Linked DNA regions of Arabidopsis thaliana. The protein of the gene in region 1 interacts with the protein of each later gene in a pairwise test. Each region holds a gene or a part of one and is shown in the gene's direction. Other genes may lie near its edges.

What was found.
Region 2: the proteins of HS1 (region 1) and ALF5 interact in a protein complementation assay, tested with the Arabidopsis thaliana proteins (one large-scale study listed by BioGRID).

What each region holds. Positions count from the first base shown.
Region 1 is NC_003074.8:5,879,368-5,885,824, forward strand, and holds HS1 (heat stable protein 1), read left to right. Parts: upstream 1-2,551; 5' UTR 2,552-2,598; intron 2,599-2,697; exon of another isoform or gene 2,698-2,709; 5' UTR 2,710-2,950; coding exon 2,951-3,090; intron 3,091-3,339; coding exon 3,340-3,529; 3' UTR 3,530-3,833; downstream 3,834-6,457. Other genes in the region: UPL6 (ubiquitin protein ligase 6), read left to right, coding at 41-108, 215-281, 503-673, 763-852, 947-1,027, 1,136-1,209, 1,316-1,387, 1,480-1,569 and 1 more; PMEI2 (pectin methylesterase inhibitor 2), read right to left, coding at 3,961-4,482; AT3G17225 (Plant invertase/pectin methylesterase inhibitor superfamily protein), read right to left, coding at 5,007-5,564.
Region 2 is NC_003074.8:8,451,291-8,459,279, reverse strand, and holds ALF5 (MATE efflux family protein), read left to right. Parts: upstream 1-2,571; 5' UTR 2,572-2,691; coding exon 2,692-2,973; intron 2,974-3,257; coding exon 3,258-3,802; intron 3,803-3,961; coding exon 3,962-4,048; intron 4,049-4,148; coding exon 4,149-4,205; intron 4,206-4,303; coding exon 4,304-4,542; coding exon of another isoform or gene 4,543-4,583; exon of another isoform or gene 4,584-4,616; coding exon 4,617-4,735; intron 4,736-4,814; coding exon 4,815-4,919; 3' UTR 4,920-5,377; downstream 5,378-7,989. Other genes in the region: AT3G23570 (alpha/beta-Hydrolases superfamily protein), read left to right, coding at 110-236, 460-550, 673-762, 851-951, 1,088-1,228.

The sequences.
Region 1 (6,457 bases):
ATAAGACTCATAATTGTTTTTTCCCGTTATCTTGTTGCAGGCTATGTTTGAAGGGATTCTTGTTGATATACCATTTGCAACGTTTTTCCTCAGCAAACTGAAACAAAAGTATGTAAATTTAATTTCTACCTCAATTTCCTGTCACTTCATTCGTTTTTTAAGCCCGCATAGACTTTTTGAACATGTTGTGAAACTTCTATTGTTCTTTGGCTAGGTACAACTATTTGAACGATTTGCCTTCTCTGGATCCTGAGTTGTATAGGCACCTTATATTTCTGAAGGTGAGTTTTGCTGAACATTCTATTTAATTGTTGCTTTGTAGAACGGGGAGATAGTTGCTAGCATAGATGTGCGAGAATGCTGAAATCTGTTTGTTTGTTTTTGTTTCGAAACTGAAATTTGTTTGTTTACCTACCTACGATAATTTTGGCTCTTTTTTTTTTTTTTTTTTTTGCTTCTTAGCTTTATACACCTTTTTATGTATTCATTATGATATTTGCAGCGTTATAAGGGTGATATCTCAGACTTGGAGCTTTACTTTGTTATTTTGAATAATGAATATGGAGAGAGGACAGAGGAAGAGCTACTTCCAGGGGGCCAAGACATGCGAGTTACAAATGAGAATGTTATAACTTTCATTCATCTGGTTTCCAATCATCGGTTAAATTTTCAGGTACTGGGGAACCACTTACCTCTCATTTATCTTGGCATACCTGAGGTCACCCTGTAAATCAACAGCTATTGATATCATCTCATTTGCAGATACGCCAGCAGAGTTCTCATTTCTTGAGGGGGTTTCAGCAACTCATTCCGAAAGAATGGATCGACATGTTCAATGAACATGAGCTTCAGGTGCCAATTAAGTGTATAATTATACTTGCTTTGTTAGTTGTTCCCTCGAGGAGCATGAAGAGAGAAATTTTACCTTTGTGGGCTTTGGTTGCAGGTTCTCATATCTGGTTCAGTTGATAGTTTGGATATAGACGACTTGCGAAACAACACTAATTATGCTGGAGGCTACCACGCGGTGAGTGGTTCTTCACTGTTAGCCGAAATGCCATTGTGAATTAGTGTAGGGACACTTTTGGAGTATTGTTATATATGATTATATCGCTATGTTGTTGACACTTGACAGGGACATTATGTGATCGATATGTTCTGGGAAGTTATGAAAAGCTTCTCAACTGAAAACCAGAAGAAGTTCTTAAAGTAAGCAAACTTTGCAGTTACTACTACAGTCTGTGTACGCAATGATTTACCGGAGTCTATGAATTTTCTAAGGGAACTAAGAGGTACCTCTATTTTTCAATTTCAGGTTTGTGACAGGCTGCTCACGAGGACCACTGCTGGGTTTCAAATACTTGGAACCTGCATTCTGCATACAGAGGTAATATACACAGACTCACAATCGTTTTGACTTTTGATGGGCCCTGGACAATAGAATCATAAAATATCCATCCTCGATGGAATGTGTATCAGGGCTGCCGGTAGTGCGAGTAATGAATCAGTTGATAGACTACCGACATCAGCCACTTGTATGAATCTTCTTAAGCTTCCGCCCTATCAAAGGTTTGTCCTCTCATAACACAAACTCTTTGGTTTTGCTTAGCTAAGAGACTTGTTTTGTTGCCAAATAGCTTCTCTTGGTGTTGTAATTGGAAAAAGCAAATAAAGCATGTCTTGTTGTTAATGATGCAGCAAAGAGCTACTTGAGACCAAATTGATGTACGCCATAAGCGCAGAAGCGGGTTTTGATCTGAGCTGATGGAATAGCTTCCTGCCTTAAACACAGACTTCAATGGCCCCAAATTGACACCCTTTTTTCTAGCATTCCTCGTTATGGTATAAACCGGGTAACCTGTAGACTGAGGCAGGCTTGTTGGCTCTAAGCATCTAAGAGACGGATCTAGAAGGAGAACATGTAGTAGAGATTACTTGACTAATGGGTTTCATTTGCAGCTCTCGGGTATTCGCTTTCAAAAAGTGTGACAAAAAAAAAAAAGTGATTACAGGGAAGTCTTTATTTGGAAGCTCCTGAGAGTTAGTCTTGGGTTAAAAATTCAATAAAAGAAATGGTAAATAAGACTGGTCTCAAGAGGAACTTAAATGCTGTAAATTATTTTGCTTAATTAATGCATGTTACACAGAACATAGATGATTATTTTGATACTTATTTGCATCATACCATATATCTTCTATAAAAAGATGCATTTTAGTGACTTAGTGGTAAGAATATCCTTTTTTTTTTTTTTTTGTCATATGATAATTATTAAAACAGAAACAAAATGACAGAAAAATAACGAGAAATACAAAATGAAATTTAAACTTTACTTTCCTTAGACACTTGATTGTGAAGTCATGAAGGCTCTCCAAGTGCTAAGTAAAACTTAGACTGAAACCTTCTGTCTTGAATCACACTCCCAAGAAATGGAACGCGCGATCAGATTTGCGTTTGTGGCAATATGACGGAATGTACAAGATTCAAATGCACTAACAATCTCATGGATTTGTGTTAACCAATTTCTATAGAAAGGCTATTTGGACGGCTGCAAAACGGCGTTAAGTGCGGCTGGACAGTCCAACTCTATTATCACCGTGGTAAGAATATCTCTATATACATTTTTTGTCGCACTTATCATGATTAATCAAGTAAACATAATTGTTACAAACACTTTATAAATTAAAAAAGCTTCAATTCAATTTGCACAGAAAAGAAAAAAAAAAGAAGAAGATTCAATACAGAGTATACCAGGAGCATCTGGTAATGTTTATATCTGAGGACGTTTTATTTAATTTTTTGGAACGAAAACAATAATCCGACGATCGTATTTGCACGTCGCAAATCCGCTCTTTTAATCAAAGATCTCGACCGTCCATTTTTAGTTAAGACTTTAGAGAGCTGATAAGTGGAATAGTGGAGATTTGCATTCGCAGGGGATAAGGATCAAAAATGGAGGAAGCAAAGGGACCTGTGAAGCACGTATTGCTTGCTAGTTTCAAAGATGGGGTTAGTCCTGAGAAAATCGAAGAGCTCATCAAAGGTTACGCCAATCTCGTCAATCTCATCGAACCTATGAAAGCTTTCCACTGGTTAGTAAATTTGGATTCTGAATTGCTTCCTAGTGTTAGACATATGCTCGAGATCCGAAAAACACTTCCATCAACTCAATATGATTATGTAAAACTAAGCAATTTGGGGAAATTCATGACCTTCCTAGTGTTGATCTAATTTCCCTCAGAGAGAATCCATCTCCATTGATGATCTTTTGAAAAGTTAAATCAACTAAATCGACGAATCTGCTCTTGTCTTATTGAATTATTGGATCTGTATAATTTTAGGGGAAAAGATGTGAGCATTGAGAATCTGCATCAAGGTTACACACACATCTTTGAATCCACATTTGAGAGTAAAGAAGCTGTTGCAGAGTACATTGCTCATCCTGCTCACGTTGAATTCGCCACCATCTTCCTTGGCAGCTTGGATAAAGTTTTGGTTATTGACTACAAGCCTACCTCTGTCTCTCTCTAATTATCTTGTAGCAGCATTTTCATCATTGATCTTTTTCTCGGGTATGCATCTTGTATGTTGAATAAAGTATATTCCTTTTGAGTTTTCCTGCATTGTTCTCATGTTTCTCTGTGAATTTCTCTCTTTTTTGTTTGTTTGTTTGTTTCCTTCTGTTGTATTATACTTGATCTGTAAAAAGATCATGAGTTTATTAAGAGTGTTTGATTTCAGACTCCTCTTTGTTATAAGTCTATTACTAGTTGTTGTCTCTTAGTTTCTTTTATCAATAGAGTTGAGTTATATGGAATAACAAGTTGAAAAGAAACCAGGTTCTTGTTGATGTGTGGGTTGGAGAAAAAAAGTTCTTTGATTATATATGTAACATTTATGCATTACTGTTTAATGTAATCGTCTAATGAGTATGATGAAGGGAGATTGAATCAATCCCACTCTCACATCATGTTTGAGATGACAAGTACAATGCCACAAATATTCTGAAAATCACCACTGTTCTTCACAGCTGAAGGATCAACTTTGAAATCCGCCATGTCTTGTTCACATGTTGAAGGTCCTTCCATAGCTGCTGAAACCTTAATGTTCAACCCTTTGCCATCGCCTGACGCCAGGCTCTGCTTAGCATCATTGAGACTGCTTATTGCACTCTTATAATGTTGTACACATGAGGTGTATGCTTTCTTCATAGTGGGGTTGGTTGCTGTCTTGACTAGAGATTGAATTTTCCTGAAACCTTCTGATGCACTTGTTTGTGCAGAACCAAATGTGATATTTGCAAGCGTTTGAAGATCAGCACCTGAGGTCTTTGGGTTGGATTTCATGTAGCTCGTACAGAAGGATTGGTTTTTCGCTTTTCCACATATCGCTTTTATGTCTGCCACTTGTGCGTTCAAAGAACCAGTCATTACAAAAAACATCAGAGAAGACATTAAAACTCTGTTCGTCAGGTATGCTGCCATCTTTGCTTCTTTCTTTCTTATGTTCGTTGGTAGATGATGGTTAAGTTATTCCCTTACTATGCCTGACTATTCATATTTATAGATGCATGCGATTGATTGCTTCCACTAGAACTAATAATAGAAATGGGTTGTTACTCTTTCTGATTCTTAGTTAGACCACAAGTCCTTATGTAAGAGAGAGAGAAAACTTTGCTATTCTTAGCATTAGTGCAGAGACAGTTATCTGATTAGTATTCGTCTAACTTACTTTCCTGACTTCTCTTCTTTAGGTAGATATGCATTCACTAATATGTGTTCATGATTTGTTGGTGCTAAGAAAGATTACTGTAGGAAGAGGTTCTATGGAGATAATTGTCATAAATATACACCAGAAGTAACGAGAGATTAAAGTCTTAGCTGAGATGCAAGACACGGTAATTTTGACTATGAATATATTCATTTATTGGTCTTTAAGTTACTAGTACATCAGCGTGAATGACATTTAGTAGTTTCTGCCTTCTTGCAGGTGAAAGATACATAAAGAATCAAGAAGTCAAAACGTCGGAGAAAACCCTATCAATATTACACATTCTCTTAAAAAACAAATTGAGTTTTGCTACATAAGCCGGCACATTTCCTGCAAACTGAGCTTCACACACTGATATACTAATGAAGGCTTTAGCAGCCCCTTGAGATGCTAACGGGTACGCCTTAGAGGTCACAAACCCTTGAGCTTCCTCGATCGCTTTAATGGCTCCTTCATAATCTCTCACGCAAGTCTCAAATGGGATCTTGAGCGTCGGATCAGTCGTGGTATTCACTGAGCCTTTCATCGCCGCTAGGTTCTTATTGCCCAATAATTGCGTCTTTTGGAAGACTAAATCGAGAAGACCTTGTAGGTCGAGGGTATATGTTGTTGGATCAGAGATTAGCCAAGTGATGCAGAAGTTGGTGTCAATGTGCGGTTCTGTGCAGAGTCGGGATAAGAAGGTTTTTGTGACTTTGTCACTCGGAGACAAAGATGAAGACAAAGGGGTGATTGATAGAAGAAGGAGTAGAGGAAGAAGTGAAAATACGTTTCTTTTGACGCAAGGATAAGCCATTGTCTTGGCTGCGGAAAGATAATTATGCGTATACTTGAGAGTCTGGGAGGTTCTTACTGCATACTAATATTAATATACATAGTTTTTGGACGACAAAAGTCAAGTTTTAGCTTGGTGTTGTTGATGAAATGTTACCCAAATTTGTTTTTCTTAGTCAATTGTTGACTCTAATTAAACACCTTCTTCTTTAGTTCAATATAATTCGCAATCCACCGTTGTTATTCGATTGATTAAGTTAAGAAAAATATCTTTGACTTTTGACTTGGGGTTACAAGAAAATCTTACACTTTCAGGAGTTTTGTTTTTGAAAAGATTTCAAAATCTTGGGTTATTAAATATATATTATATCATACAAAACTCCCAAAACTTTCTTTTTATTTTTTGTGCAAAACAAAACTCCCAAATCTAAACATAGGAATTCTATGGATGAGTGTCCGCATTCCAAACAGTGTTTTATATCTTCTTTTGAGTATTGTTTGTCGTACGTACTATTCAACTATCGTTTTCGTAAGTTTTTTATGACAAACATAGTACATATTTAAAGGAAACGAATCATTCCCAAAAATTTGAAGCAAACTGAACACAATCAATTAGGGCTACAATCAATCATACAGAGTGAAAAAATCATATCGAATTTGGTTTATTCATTTATTGGTTTTAAGTTACTAGTACATGAGAGTTAATGACATTTAATATACCCCTCCATTTTTATCTATTTGATGTTTTAGACGAAAAATTCTTTTAAAATAGATGATGTTTTCCACTTTCAATGCAAAAAGTAAAAAATTTTCTTGGTTTTGAATATTTTTATAATGCAGATTGTTTTACTATTGGTTGAATTGTGTTTAGGTAGATGATAAATAATGTTTTAGTTTATAAATAAACAAAAATTA
Region 2 (7,989 bases), 2.6 Mb from region 1:
TCAGATTCTTTGTTATAATGAGTTATAGTTTATATCACCTTTTATAGTCACTCGAAAGATGTTTCATTCTTGCTGTAACTTGTCATGGATATTGTTCTTCCCTTGATAGGAAACTTGCTGACAAGGTTGCAGAAGCTGGATTCTACGCGGTGGTTCCTGATTTCTTCCATGGAGATCCTTATAATCCCGAGAACCAGGATCGTCCGTTTCCTATTTGGATGAAAGATCATGAACTAGTTAGTTTCTTTTCCTTATTAAATGTTCAATCCTCAATTTTTCTCAAAAACATAAATGAGTCTTTGTTTCCCAGCATGAAATAGTCCAAGTATCCCAATAATCCCTTATTATTAGTGCCAAAATGCTATCACTACTTATTGTTGATTGCAAAGCTAAGATTAAGTCAGTGTTTTTGTACTGTTCTGTGTCAATGTATCTGAAACCAGACTATGGATTTTGTAGGAGAAAGGGTTTGAGGAGTCAAAGCCAATAGTGGAGGCCTTGAAGAACAAAGGCATAACTAGTATAGGAGCAGCAGGGTTCTGTTGGGGTGGTGAGTTCGGTTTTCTTGTTCCCATCATCACCACAGTTTTATGAAAATGTTTTCCATGATCTGTATAATAAGTCAACCATGTATATTAGTTAACACAAGACTTTTTGTTTCTTATTCTTTAGCAAAAGTTGCGGTGGAACTAGCTAAGGAAAAGCTTGTTGACGCTACTGTTTTGTTACATCCTGCTCGCGTTACGGTGGATGATATCAAGGGTATTTAGATCTTTGATATGGCCACTCCTTACTTGATAGTTCTCTCTCATTTGTTGTGATTATGACTCTCACTATATGATTGAAGCAGAGGTCAACCTTCCAATTGCTGTATTAGGAGCTGAAATCGATCAAGTGTCTCCTCCAGAACTTGTGAGGCAGTTCGAAGATATTTTAGCTTCTAAACCTCAGGTACTTTGCTTAGCTCTATGTCTTTATGCAAGGTAATATTTTCATTACTTACAAAAACACAACTAGTAGTTGATGTGTTTTTGGAAGTAGATATCTTCTTCAAGTAGATAATTGTGAGCAAAGTGATATGTTTCAGGTGAAGAGTTTTGTGAAGATATTCCCAAGATGCAAACACGGTTGGACTGTTAGATACAATGAAAATGATCCATCAGAAGTTGAAGCTGCAATGGAAGCTCACAAGGACATGCTCGCTTGGCTCATCGACTATCTCAAGTGAGAACTTGAAACGGTCTAAGCTTTGGTTTGCACATAACCAGCGGAGACCCAAAATCATGTCTAGTACTCTTTAAATAATAAATGTAACTAGTAGTATCTTCTTTAATTTATGTTGCTTTGTCATGTTTGTGGCTAGTGTTCTCTGTTTCGTTTCAGTCTGAGAAACATCAGTTTGAGTTAAACTTAAGACGTTCTAGAAATATCTTAATGTTCCTTTGGACCTTAAGCCTATTTATGTTGTTGATATTGAAATAAAGACATCCCCAAATTCAGCTATATAAATCTTTCTAAATTGATTTTTCTCTATGACTAATGAATTAGCTCTACTTTAAAATTCATCTGCATTACGATTTTTTTTGTTTTTTGAAAAATCGACCTCTTAGTAAATCATAAAACCTTGACAAAATTAGCAATTCTCAACTAATGTTTAACAGATAGTTGTTAGTTTCACCAGCTTCTGTTTAATTATTAATTTGATGATTAAAAATAATTTTTTTTTCTAAATATGGATTCTTGTATTGATATTTCAGATAATTATCTGTCTTTGTTGGTTCTAGTTGATAAGTAACCATGGTTCAGAAAAAAACAAGAAGATGAGTAACCATGAATCTGACTAGAATTGGATCCTAGTACTGGAGATGAGCTGTAGAATCAGATAAAAATTGTAAACAAACTCTCTTCCAAAAAAACAGAATCAGATCAATGAAATAAACGAGGCATGTTTGTGAGATGGAAACTTCTTCAATCTTATGGCATCAGAGTCCTCGATTTCACGAATCAGATACAAACATAAATATTTGCTCAGAGGGTACCATATCTGAACTCTGAGTTTGAGTATGGAAAACGTTCTTAAATCTAAAAGTTCTCCTATAGATTTGGTAACTAGGTGACGACGTCTTTACGATACTCTCTCTAAATGTGACTATACAACTAATGAAAACTTGTAAAAAAAAAAAAAAACTCAAATACAAATTTTCATTAGTTTTACTTTTGTATTTTAATACCAATCCTATGCATGTCTTGAAACAGGTGAATTGTTGTAATATAGAAATATTTCTTAATTGATGAAGTTTTGTTATTCACAATTTTAACGATAAGTTAAGTCCAATGTTCAAAGTTTCCTGAGGTGGTAATCGGGTGGTCATGACTCATGAGCTGCCTGATTATAGTACATTGCAAATTTAATTGGTTGACTTTTTAAGTCATCATTTTGTTTTAAGATTATTGATTCTGATCCAAAAATAATTAGTCTGAGGATGTAATAAATTGAATCTTTTTTGGCATAATTAAAAAATGTATTTATATTGCATTATAATGTGGCAGTAAATGGCAGAGAGGCCTCTTGTGTTGGTATTTAATATCCTGTTTCTGCGTACATCTCTTATTTAATTCCTCACCTTGCCAAATCACAATTCTCCTCTTCAAGTCTTAACCAAACCCAAAGTCCTTCAACAAGAAAATCCAATGGCTGATCCGGCAACGAGTTCTCCGTTGTTGGATGACCATGTAGGTGGAGAAGATGAAAGAGGAAGGAGATCAAGATCATCAACTTTGGTTCAAAAAGTGATCGACGTGGAAGAAGCAAAAGCTCAAATGATTTACTCTTTGCCAATGATACTCACCAATGTTTTCTACTACTGTATTCCTATAACTTCTGTGATGTTTGCTTCTCACCTCGGTCAACTCGAGCTCGCCGGTGCCACCCTTGCCAATTCTTGGGCCACCGTCTCCGGTTTTGCCTTCATGGTACCATTATTTCCTTATTTCTTTAGCTTTTGTAATTTAAAATCTTGTTTTGATGTCTACTTGCAAAAGTTACTAAAACCCACTTATTTCCATCTCAATAATAGACTCGAACTCGAATTCAAGAATCAAGATTGTTTAAAATGATTTATTCGACATAAATGACTAGTAGATGATTTTAGGAGTTGTCTAAATTTTTATTAACGACATCTTCAAGAACATTTGGCCAACGGTATATATGTATAAGTGCTTGTTTATGACATACATTAATGTCTCTTTGTTTTCAGGTAGGGTTAAGTGGATCACTTGAGACATTATGTGGACAAGGCTTTGGTGCAAAAAGATACAGGATGTTGGGAGTTCATCTACAATCATCTTGCATCGTTTCATTAGTTTTCAGCATCCTCATCACCATCTTCTGGTTCTTCACAGAATCGATTTTTGGACTTCTCAGACAAGATCCTAGCATTTCAAAACAAGCTGCACTCTATATGAAGTACCAAGCTCCCGGTTTACTAGCTTACGGGTTTTTACAAAATATTTTGAGATTTTGCCAAACACAATCGATCATTGCTCCACTAGTCATCTTCTCGTTTGTTCCCTTGGTGATAAACATTGCTACCGCATATGTTCTTGTTTATGTAGCTGGGCTTGGATTCATTGGTGCTCCAATAGCTACATCTATTTCATTGTGGATAGCTTTCCTTTCGCTTGGAACTTATGTGATGTGTTCAGAAAAGTTTAAGGAAACATGGACTGGATTTTCGTTGGAATCATTCCGTTATATCGTAATAAACTTGACATTAAGCCTCCCTTCTGCTGCTATGGTATGGTAAGTATATATGTTTCTTGACCGTTATATCTAGCCTAGTGGTTTATATTAGTCAATGTAATCATACCCGGGGTCAAAACCAAATAGTACATGTTGACAAAAAGAAAAAAAAATATCATTAGGCTTGTTGAAGCTTAAGAGACTATATTGTTGCAACAGTTTGGAATATTGGGCATTCGAGATTCTTGTGTTCTTGGCAGGAGTGATGCCAAACCCGGAAATCAATACTTCTTTGGTCGCTATATGGTAAAAAATATATATTTTTAATATCACTTTTTTGGTAGTTAATGTTTTTTTTATCTATTATATCAAATTTCTCAATGTGTGTTATGTTAAATAAATTCAGCGTCAACACGGAGGCGATTAGCTACATGTTAACATACGGACTTAGTGCAGCTGCAAGGTTTGCTCATTTTACTAGATAGTTTCAAAATACTTTGTATTCCATCTTGCTGAAAAATATTGTTTCGGAAATGTAAAAATCGAAAATAAATATTGCAGTACGCGTGTGTCCAATGAACTTGGAGCAGGAAATGTAAAAGGCGCAAAGAAGGCGACCTCTGTGTCCGTAAAGTTGTCTTTAGTTCTTGCTCTCGGCGTTGTAATTGTTTTACTCGTAGGTCATGATGGTTGGGTTGGGTTATTTAGCGATAGCTATGTGATTAAAGAGGAGTTTGCATCATTGAGGTTTTTTCTTGCTGCCTCTATAACTCTTGATTCAATCCAAGGAGTTTTATCAGGTAAAAGATCCAATATATATTTTTTTTTTTTACTCATCTAGGGTGGTAAAAATCATTGTTAAATTTATTTACAGGAGTTGCAAGAGGATGCGGATGGCAGCGTTTAGTCACGGTTATAAATTTGGCGACATTCTACTTAATTGGAATGCCGATTGCCGCCTTTTGTGGTTTCAAGTTGAAGTTTTATGCCAAGGTATTGCTTGATTCTATAATAAGATTAGTAAATTTTGTTTGATTATGTTATGTTTGATTCATTATTTTGATGGCGACAGGGTTTGTGGATTGGTTTGATATGTGGAATATTTTGCCAATCATCATCTCTTTTGCTTATGACAATATTCCGGAAGTGGACAAAGCTGAATGTTGCTACGGTCTGAAAACTCTAGTTACGTTCCATTTTTCTACGGAGGCACATTTATTTTCTTAAGCAGATATGGAATCAGTTATCAAGATATATATTTGGAACTCATGATCATTTTCCAAACGCTTAGTTAAGATTTATCTTTCTTAGTTTTCTTTTTATTCTTTTGGAGTGTAAGGGAAATAATCTGGTTCACAAAGTTGGTCATGGCTTGAATATTACAGCATCATTCTAAGCTATCTTTGAAACCAACTTCTTCTTAGTTGCGTTCTTCAATTTACTAGACTAGTTTCGTTATCGTCAGCAAGAAACTTTTCTCATTTTCTATTTCTTTAATTCCTCGTCGTTTTACTATTTTTGGCGATTTTTTTGGCATATTGTGCTAAAATCAGAAATTTTGATGCTTTCTATGTAAACTTATTTCTCTTGCTTAGTTACACACGTCTGGTCTGGTGTCTCCATATTATCCTGTTTGCTTTCTGGCAATGAGCTAGCTTAAATATGAGATCTTTGTCCACACGTTTTCTCAAAATAATAGCTTTTCTGGCCATTAATTTTGATAGAATCTATCTCGTCTCTTCGAAATAATGATTTTCTATCTATCTCGATAGGATTGAATCTTCATTTAAACCATCAATTAGTAGAATGCTCAGACAACTTTCTGGCCAGATTAGTCAGACAACGTGTGTTTGGACTCTCCTATCATGTTAAGTTTCATGGGATTCCAACTCAAAACCAATTGGTAATTAATGAATTATCCAATGTCTTTTATATACTACTCAAATCTTCTCTCATCTTTATGATGTGTGATCATTCTCCACAAGATTAAGTTTGATCATACAGTTCATTTAGGCTTTTCCATGTCCTAAAGGAGGTTATGGCCGTTATGAATTTACTTAACACAAATCTAATAAGTTTTCCATTATTTAGCCATGAGGCGATGCTAGGATGATTAGTAAGCCTATTACATAATCTTATTTTCAGATAGAGTTTAACATAATTAGGTGATTGACTTGAATAGAATCTACGAATGCCATCAATTGATTTACTTGACACTGTTTCCATAGAAGTTTAACATAAAACAGTGTCATGAAACTTAAGTAGTTGTTATTTGGTGGGCTAAGGAATAGAATCTAGGATTGTGCTTAATTAAACCTCGTTATGTCACATGGTTCGATCTCATCTATTGTTTTGCTATGTTGAACTTTCGTGATACAAATCTTTCTAATTTTGAACTGAACTTCAATTCCTAATTAAACTCGTTTTTTTGTGTTTCATTTATTCGTTAATGTTAGTCGTCTTTTGTGTTTCATTTATTCGGTCATGTTAGTCTTTCCCTAATATAGTGTAAATTCCTAGTTTAACAATAGTTTCACTATAGCACAATGGTTAAATTCATCTTGATTGATAACTTTCCTAAATTTGAAATCCACAAACCAAATTCATTGCCTATCAAAAGAATTCGTCTCTCATATTCGATCTGTGGCATAAGAAAACTTTTTTAAAAAGAAATATGTAATTATTTGTGTAAAAATATATACAGTGTAAATTCATTGCTTATCAAAAACATCCGTTGTAGTACAAGGGTTTAATTCATCTTGATTGCTGTTTCTCTAGTTTAATCGATTGATCGCTTTCTAGGTTTGAATCCTGGCAGCGGAAACTTTTTTAATTTATCTGTTGTTATTTGTGTAAATATATATACAGTGTAAATTCATTGCTTATCAAAAGATCCGCTGTAACACAAGGATTTAATTTATCTCGATTGTTGTTTCTCCGGTTTAATTGATTGATGGCTTTCCGGATTTGAAAAGTTTCCGGGATCGAATTTCGGCACTAGAAAACTTTTTTTAGTTTTTTTTTGTAATTATGGGTTTCAATAGATAGATATACAATATATAGTTTAAATTCATAATTTATAATTCTCCCCTTACAAAAGATTAAAATTTGGATTACATTTGAGAATAAAGGGGAGAAGCAACATAGCATGTAGCGGAATGGATCAAGCTAAAAGACGTTTAAGGGAGAACACAAGTTTATGAGACTCCTAGATCTCACATCGTTCACCCTGACCCACATCGACCTTGTGATGGTCCCATGCAAGAAAATGGCAAATCACACGTCGATTCTTACATCGGGCAGAGGTAGATCAAAGCGGGAAAGTTGAAGAATCATGCAAGTATCAGATTGGCCTCCACATCGACATAGGCAATGTCATCCCACAAATTTTGAAGTGCCAGCATGGTTTAAACTTGTTTTTGAGGATTTTTAATATAAGTTTGAGTTTTCTCTAATTTGTATAGAGACTCAAGAGCCTTGTTCTACATTTCGTTAATGAAGATGTCATATTTTCATCAAACTAGTGAAGATTTTCTCATCTTGATACATCTCTTCTCTTAAATTATGTTTATGCCTCCATTTACCTTTGCTTTTTTGCTTCTTTAGTTCAGTCTTGTTATCAAAGTTTTGAAGATTAAACTAGCTAGGATTAATAATGAATACATCAATGATGTTGATTATGGGAGAATCTTGCTAGATTCTTTAGTCAAAAGAATTGGAGTTCTTAGACTCTCATAGGAAGGGAAGATCTTCCCCACCATTCCTTACACGCAACGTGAGTTATCTAGAATTTAGCTTCTACCTGCTCTTGAGTCTTAGCAAGTCAAAGATTAGTAGCAGCAGTGCAGCACACTATTAACAATTACATCAACCATCAGCGTCAGAAGACAATTTAACCAGACTAATATTCTCTAAAATGTTAGCCGTTTATTTTGAATTTTTTGATGGCCGGAAACTAACTCTTTACTACTTGATGGTAGTAGGGTTGGCTTACTTGGTGGGAGCTACAATGGTTCCGCAGCCGGCCCCAACTCTTGAACTCTAGGAGTTTTTTTTGTTCTTCCATTATATTGTTTTCTTTCTTTTTTTTCGAAAAAAACTCTTCCATTATAATGTCGGTTTTTTTTTTATTTGGATAATGGCACAACCATATCATTACTGTAAACCAATCCGGTAAAAAAAAAATAGAATTTAAACAATTATAAATAAAATTTGGTAATGGTAGGATCAGCCATTATGGTCATCTT